Rattus norvegicus: one gene and its partner. The protein of the gene in region 1 purifies or fractionates together with the protein of each later gene. This does not show direct contact. Links are inferred from orthologs where the notes say so. Each region holds a gene or a part of one and is shown in the gene's direction. Other genes may lie near its edges.

Region 1 (3,996 bases):
CTTTTGCTTTCTATTGCGGCTTGTGGCCACGCCTCCCTGGCTTGGCTGTCCTGCTGGCTCCTCATCCCCATCCCAGTCACACTTTTCAGTTTCGAATGAAGTCCTGTTCCAATATCTCTTCTCCAATGCCTCGTTTCCGTTCCGAAAAGACTTCCCAGGCTCTACCCGACTCCCATATTGGAGAGTGAGCTTTGTTTTTCTTGTTTTGTTTTGGTATTTGTTTTAGTGTCGGAGGTCAAACCTAGGACCTTCTAGCATGTTAGCAGCCAAGGGCTCTCTCACTGAGCTGCACACGTAGCTCCTGGTTCAGCTCTTGTTTCTGTCTCCAGCGATGCTTTTTAGACCTCGTTCCTGCTCTTAATCATTACTCCAGTCCTAAGTCCCCCAGCTTCTCCCTTTGCCGCCCACCCATCCCCTATGTCGGACCCTGTTACGCCTAAGCTAGGTTTTTACAAACTTGGTCTTAAGGCCCAGCTAGGACTCCTGGTTCTTGAGCCCCTTCCCACACAAGTCATGGTTTCTGGGTTTGCTGCTCTGTTAGCTTTTCACTGCTCAAGTCATCTCTTCTGGATATGCGGTCTGGTCCTTGGATGATGTTTGCTTAGCAACAACCCTAAACCTTTTCCAGCTCAAGCCAAGCCTTCTCGGCTCTAGTCCCACAAAGACGCGCGCCTTGGTCTCTTCCTACTGAAGCCACGCCTTCCATTGTTACTGACAGCCTCCAATTTGCTCCTCTGCCCCTGGCCACACCCCTCCACTCGGCGGCGCTTTTTCAAATGCTAGTACTTTGGTCTCGCTTGCGACACCCGCTGCTCTTAGTCTCTGTCTCTTTACCTCTCTCCCGGAGTTCAACTTTGGGAGTTTGCTGCTTTTCCTCAGCCTGGCCCCCTGGCCTCCTGGCCCCCTGGTCCCCTGGTCCCCTGGTCCCTTGGCTCCCCTGGCCACGCCCCAGGACCACTCCCTGCCCGCCGGAGCCACGCCTTCTAGGCGTGTAGCTTTCCTCAGCCGGGCCTACAAGGCGTCTATCTGCCTGAGCTCGTCACGTCTCACCGCTCGGCTACGTCCTGAGTCCCCTCCTTGTCAGAGCCACGCCTGGCTTGTCTGCTGACCCCCTCTGGCTTTGCTTGCTTATCCTTAGCGCCACCTCATGGCCACGCCTCCGAGGCGGTCATCACCCCCAGCTTTCCGGGTTTGCTGTTCGTCTTCCCCTGGCCTGGCCACGCCTCGTGCCCCCTCCTCTCCCAAGCCACATCTAGGTTTTCCTATTTCCAGTTCCATCCGCTAGTCAAGCTAGTCAGGCCTAGTCAGTCTCTAGTCTGGTCCTCCAAACGGTCGTCAGGCCGCGCCAGTACAGTCCTGGGGCCTCAGGCACTTTCCTAGGAAGGTAGGGATCCTCGGCAGGCCTCGGAAAGTCGCGCCGGTTTGGCCAGTCCGGCCACCTCAGCACCCTCCAGGGAGCGCGGCCTCCCGGCCACCGGAAACGGAAGCGCGCGACGGCTGGACCATGGCGACGCTGTTTGACCTCCCAGACTTGGTGCTCTTGGAGATCTTCTCTTACCTCCCTGTCCGGGACCGGATCCGCATCTCCAGGTGCGGCCCCGCTCCTCGGGAGAAAGAGCCGGGCATGGGCTCGGCAGGAGAGGCGGATCCGGTCCCAGCGGGCCGGGTCGTTCTAACGGCCGGTCCACTCCTCCAGGGTCTGTCACCGCTGGAAGAGGCTAGTGGATGACCGGTGGCTGTGGCGACACGTCGACCTGACGCTCTACACGGTACGCGGGACCCGGGAGCGGTGCGGGGAGAGCCAACCTCCTGCCCTGGGATAGAGGGGCCTGTGCTTTATTTTGTTTTCTAGTGTTTGTTTGCTCTTGGTTTTATTTATTTATTTTTGATACTTTCTAAAGGCTTTTATTTTTCTGTATTTTTGTTGATTTTTTTTGGAGGGGGGGTGTTTTGAGACAGGATCTCTATCCCAAACTGGCTTCCAGCTTCCTATGAAGCTGAGGCTGAGCTTGAATTTCTAATCTACCTCGCCCTCTAAGTATTGGGATTACCAGAGTCGGCCTCCATGCCTGATTTCTGTAATACTGGGGATGGAATTTAGGTTTCTTGAATGCTAGGAAGGCACTCTTCTGACTGAGTCATGTACTGGTTTCCAACTAACCACCCCCTCCGTTAATCTGCTCAGTGCTGAAATTACAGCTGTGGGCCACCTTATCTGGCCCAGGAAGTGTTTGGGTATTGTTTATTTGTTTTTTTCCTCCAAGTAAAATTTCTCTGTAGCCCTGGCTGGCCTGGAACTCCTCCTCCAGTGCTGGGACTAAAGGTGTGCACCACCACCCCACTGGTTTGGTTTTTAAGTGAGTTCGTGCTTGGAATTTTCTGCATGTCTATCCTAGCAGTAGCCTTTTCTCCTCCTCTGCAACGTTCAGACCTCAGTTTCTCATCCAAGATATGGGGATTAAAGATAATGCTTGTGGAGCTATCGGTGACGGAGTGTTTGACTCTGGTGAAGCCTTGGCTCCATCTCTTGCACCAAGAAAAACAAAAAAGTGCCTTCATGTCTGGCATATTGTAGAACTTAGCCAGTTGCAGAGAGAGATGATTTAGACCAGTGTGTGGTCTCCAGCATTCAATAAATGCAAGCTCATAACTTTTCAGTGTTCTGGGTTTGTTGTTTTAGTTTTTGAGATGGGTCTCATGTATCCCACGGTAGCTTCCAGCTGGCCATGCAGCCTGGGATGACAAAGATTCTGCTCCTCTTGCCTTTTCCTGAGGGCTGGGATTACAGGTGTGTGCCATCACACAGTCCATGTGGTGCTGAGAACCAGATCCACGCCGGTTTGCTAGGCAAGCACTTCACTGACACAGCCTCGTGCCCAATTTCTATTTTTTGGTCTTTTGAGACAGCATCTGTCAATGCGAAATATAACTGTTACCTCAGAGTGGATAAGAATTTACTCTGGAGCCAAATATGAGTGACTAACCATGTACGGAGAATACAGAGTTGGGTTTTCTCAAATACGTGTTTAAATAGAATAATTCCATGACAATTTTTTTTACTTTATTATTATTTTTATTGAGACTGGGTTTCTCTGTGTGGCACTGGCAGTCCTGGAGCTCAGTCTGTAGACCAGGTGGGCCTTGAACTCCAGTTCCACCTACTGGGACTAATGATGTGTGTGCACTAACTCTGTCCAGCGAAATTTTATAGTAATAGAATAAAGTCATAAAAAGTGTTAGCCATTTCTCTAGCAACAGATTATTTTTTAAAAGATTTATTTTCTCTGTTAAAAAGTGGTCAAGAAATTTTATACCGTAAGACTGGGCCTAGTAAAGACTTGTTACTACAGAGGTTGAGAGAGGAAGATCATAAGTTCAAGGCCAGCCTGGGCAATTTACCTCTGCCCTGCCTTGAAGTACAAATTCAGAGAAGGCCTGGAACTGTGATTCAGCTCTAGAATGTTTTCCTGGGCTGCACGAGGCCCTGGATTTCACTCCCCAGTGTCATTAAAAGTAAGGGTGTGCTGTGAACTGGGTTATAACTGAGTTCTCAGCCATGTCCTTACTATACCCGAGGTCCTGGATTCCATCCCAGCATAAGCAACAAATCGTTTGCTCTACCCAGCTTTCTTTTCTCTTCTTTTCTTTTGGATAAAATGAACATACAATGAAATGCACTGTATTGTTTTTTTGATTGCATAGTTTTGTGTGCATGTACCTACATCTACATGTGTGTGTATATGCATGAGTGCAAATACAGATGTGTACAAGAGCAAGTAGAGGGGGTTGGGGATTTAGCTCAGTGGTAGAGCGCTTGCCTAGGAAGCGCAAGGCCCTGGGTTCGGTCCCCAGCTTCGGGGAAAAAAAAAAAAAAAAAAGAGCAAGTAGAGGCCATAGGTCAGTGTAGGGTATCTATCTTCCTCAGCTTCCTTGTCTTTCTGTCTCTCTGTCTCTCTGTCTCTCTCTCTCTCTCACACACACATACACACACACACA
Region 2 (3,953 bases), on another chromosome or scaffold:
GAATTAAAGGTATTCACCACAGCACTTGCCATGGGATTATTTTTTAATTAAAAATTACTAGCAGGGTATTCTGTGCCTTTTGTAATTTCTAATATAATAGTTTATGTCATACTAGAGAACATGGAACATCTGATTGGCCAGCTAATTAATCATTGAACAGCTGTACTTCTGTATATTGAACATGCATTATATACATGACAACATGAAAAGAATTAAGAGGAAGTCTAAGTTAAACACATAGTCCTTACACTTTGTTTTTAAAGGATGGTTTTTGATAATAGTCCTGAGGTCTCTAGGAAGTCTTAAAATACACACCTTGCAGCCAAGCAACAATTCCTTTTGTGATACCAAAGGGTTGTTCAGACCAAGCAACAATTCCTTTAGTGATACCAAAGGGTTGTTCAGAACTTCAAACCAGGCCATTAGTCGTTTAGTTCCAGAACTCTTGAGAGTTTAAAGACCAGCCTGATCTACCTAGTGAGATCCTGAGACCATATATTCTTAACTTTTAAAAATTAACTTCAACGCAAGTTCCTCACACAGAATCATATGTTGAAAATTTTGACTCGGAGAAATCTTAAGAGTACTGAGTTCAATTTAGTAAGTAAACTATCACTTATATTTCTGATGACGTTTTCTATGAATCATTTTGAAATTTTCTGGATAATTTGAGTTGTTACACCCCGGATTATACCTAAGAAGCCACTTTCTACTTTAAAGGTGAAGAGTATCAAGTTTTTTGCGTAGTTTAACATGAATTTAAACTGAACTCTTCCTGTTTGGTTGTAACTAACTCCTACGGATTGGGCAGCATTCCTCTGAGTGCGGTCGGTCATGGGGAGCACTTTGAAGGGATTCCCATCCCGTCTGGGAAGGCCTAGCTGGCCCGACAGCAGACTGCCTTCCCCGACCTCTCGCCTTCCCTTCGGCCGCGGCTCCGCCCCGCGGGAAGCCCCTCCCCCCGCGTCTGCGCGCTCGCGGACCGGCAGGGCGGAGGCGCGCTGACACCTGGCGGCGGCGGGGGCGGGCCGTCGGCGAGCGTGGGCTGGGATTGGCTGTGGCGCGTGGGTTGGGGCGGGAGGAGACGGTTATGGGCTCGAGCCTGGGCCGGATTCCGGCTGTCTGAGGGGCGCGGAGACCTGCAGGAGGGAGACGGCCGCAGCATGGCGGCCCGCAGCGCACCGCCCTGCCATCCGCCTTCCTGTCGCAGCCGCCCGGACCCCGTGGTCCGCGAGTGCTTGCTGTGAGCCCGCCGCGCGTCAGCCCGCCATCCGCCCGCCCTCCTTCCCTTGTCGCCTCTGCCAGCCCGGGGGGGGGGGGCGGCCGGGCGCGCCGCAGCCACCCGCCGGGGCCCTTGGACCATGGAGGACGTGAAACTGGAGTTCCCCTCGCTCCCGCAGTGCAAAGACGACGCCGAGGTGAGTGCCCGCCCGCCGGCCCTGCGGCTGGCAGCCCCCGGGTAGCGCCCCTGGCCCTACTGTGCCAGACTCTTCCTGTTTCCCGTAGGGGGCGTCACTGAGTTCCTCCTCCCATGGGACCCCTGTCGGTAGGGCCAACCAGGAGAGTACCCCTGATCACTTTTGAACACAGACTCATCTTTGCCAAAGCAACACGCTGTGAAGTTGTTTTTAATCTGAGCTTGGTGTTAGGTTCACATGCGGGACACAGAGCCCCACGTGTGGAATAGACCGGAGGCGTGAACTCTGGAATTGAACCCTAATAGCTCTCAAGTCAAAAAAACAACTACCAACAAAAACCCCACAAAAAAACTATGACTAATAGGAAAAAAAGTCAAAAAGACAGCTTCTTTGAATTTGAAATTTTTTAGTCACAATTCTTGCCTTTGTAGGAAAGAACTGTCGAGAGCAAATTTCTCTCAATTTATGAATTTAGGGTTCTTTTCACTCCACCTTGATTTTTCTTTTCTTTACCTAACATCTGTTGCAAATATTTTATGGTACCAGAAAGTGTTAAATTAGAGTTCACCAGTGGCTAAATTAGTAACAAGACAAGGATTCTTAGCTGTGACACTTAATAGGATCAAAAAGGGATTCTAGAGTTTTGTTGTGTGTTTTGACTTACATGTCTTAATACTCACCTCTGGCTGTGCTGGAACTCACAGAGATCCACTGCCTCTGCACCCCAAATGGGAATGAAGGTGCCTCTCATCGTTTTAAAGGTATTTGGGTTACATATGAGATGGAGACTTTATACCATTCAATTCTGTTGAATGTCTTCATTTGATCACTTTCTTGTGTTTGTTTTGTTGTGGTTATGGGTTTTTGAGAAAGGATTTCTTTGTAGCCCCGGCAGTCCTGGAACTCTGTGCAGAGAAAACTGGCCTTAAAGTCAGTCTCCTGAGTACTGGTTTTAAAGGTGTGTGCCGCCAATCTTAACTACGTTTTTAAATGAATTTTAATTTTAAGCCAAGGTCTTGTGTAGCCAGGAATGTCCTTCAATCCCTTTTCTCCCAAGTGACAAGCATTTGGAGAATTCTTAGGAGTGATGGTTGAGACTTGAATATATTTTTAAGTTGAATCATAAATTTAAAAAAGATTTTGTACTTTTTTCTTTAATGTACAGTCAGGTAAATGAGGGGTATTGTATCTTCAAATAATTTTTCAGTTTCACAAGTGGTTTCTCTTGTGATAGAAGAAAAGAACCAACTCTGGCAAGCAGCCTTCTGACTTCTCCACAGAGAGAGATTGATTGAGGTTTAGAGTATGTGTTCTATCAGGGTCACTACTGCACATAGTGGAGGTGGAGTCCTGACTCCTAATTCTTTTGGGTTTTTAATACACCTTAATTCTTCCCTCCCCTATTCTTAGAAGTTATAACTTAATTCCCCCCCTTTATTGTAATTATATTTATTCCCTGCAAAAACTGTAACTTCTTACTTACTATTTCCCAATGATATATGTAAGGCATCAAAAACAATTTACAGTTTCTTTCACATAGAAAATCAAAAATCAAATCACTGCCAGGTGAGTGATGGCTTTCTTGTAGGTGGTGTGGTCCACCAGTCCCAGTGTCATTCATACATCCATTAGTCTGTATTGTCTGTCAACCATTTGGACTTCCTCTTACTTGGGATATAGTCATGAGGTTTATGCTAACATTTTCTAAACCTAATTACTTTCAGAGGCCCCCCTCAACACACTGTATTTGTATTGAGTTTCCACCTTTTAATTCCTTGTTTAGACATCTCAAGACTTGTTTCTGGGGAGATATACTCAAACATAGCTGTAGAGTTAAGGTGAGAAAACTCTCAAAGATCAGCATCTGATAGCAACTGGAATAATTTCAGATCCGTACTTATTCTAGTGAGGCTTAAGGTTATGTGTGTATGTGACCTGTGAATGGAGGTAACGTCTATTCTCTTGCTGCTCTGCAACTTGCTTTTAATTCTTGTAATTATTAATATTATTAGCAACAGGGTTTCTCTGTGTAGCCCTGACTATCCTGGAACTCATTATGTAGACCAGGCTAGACTCAAACTCATAGAGCCCTGCCTGCCTCTGCCTTCTTGATTCTTGGATTTGAAGATGTGTACTGCCACATCCTATTGTAGTAGTAACTTATTTTGGTATAAATATGTAGACAGTGTTTCATGGTCTTTTGTCTACAAACTTACACAGAGTGTGAATCAACTTTGGAATCTTGTTTTTGTTAAAAATTGAGATTCAAATTTCATTTTCTTTTTTTTTCTTTCCTTTTTTTTTTTTTTTCCTCTTTTTTTTCGGAGCTGGGGATCGAACCCAGGGCCTTGCGCTTCCTAGGCAAGTGCTCTACCACTGAGCTAAATCCCCAACCCCCCCTTTTTATTTTTTTAGATTTTATTTATTTATTATATATAAGTACACTGTACCTGTCTTCAGATACACCAGAAGAGGGCATCGGATCTCTTTACAGATGGTTGTGACCCACCATGTGGTTGCTGGGAATTGAACTCA

The links. Proteins that work in one complex are often made in the same cells at the same time.
Region 2: the proteins of Fbxl12 (region 1) and Styx purify together in Homo sapiens (affinity purification with mass spectrometry; 4 studies listed by BioGRID and IntAct, with this or other methods). This does not show direct contact. The link is inferred for Rattus norvegicus from reciprocal best matches to the Homo sapiens genes FBXL12 and STYX.

Annotation. Positions count from the first base shown.
Region 1 is NC_086026.1:27,454,973-27,458,968, reverse strand, and holds the start of Fbxl12 (F-box/LRR-repeat protein 12), read left to right. Parts: upstream 1-1,196; 5' UTR 1,197-1,504; coding exon 1,505-1,590; exon of another isoform or gene 1,591-1,696; coding exon 1,697-1,769; intron 1,770-3,996. UniProt on the Homo sapiens protein: Substrate-recognition component of the SCF (SKP1-CUL1-F-box protein)-type E3 ubiquitin ligase complex.
Region 2 is NC_086033.1:21,043,910-21,047,862, forward strand, and holds the start of Styx (serine/threonine/tyrosine-interacting protein), read left to right. Parts: upstream 1-1,153; 5' UTR 1,154-1,361; coding exon 1,362-1,418; intron 1,419-3,953. UniProt on the Homo sapiens protein: Catalytically inactive phosphatase. Acts as a nuclear anchor for MAPK1/MAPK3 (ERK1/ERK2). Modulates cell-fate decisions and cell migration by spatiotemporal regulation of MAPK1/MAPK3 (ERK1/ERK2).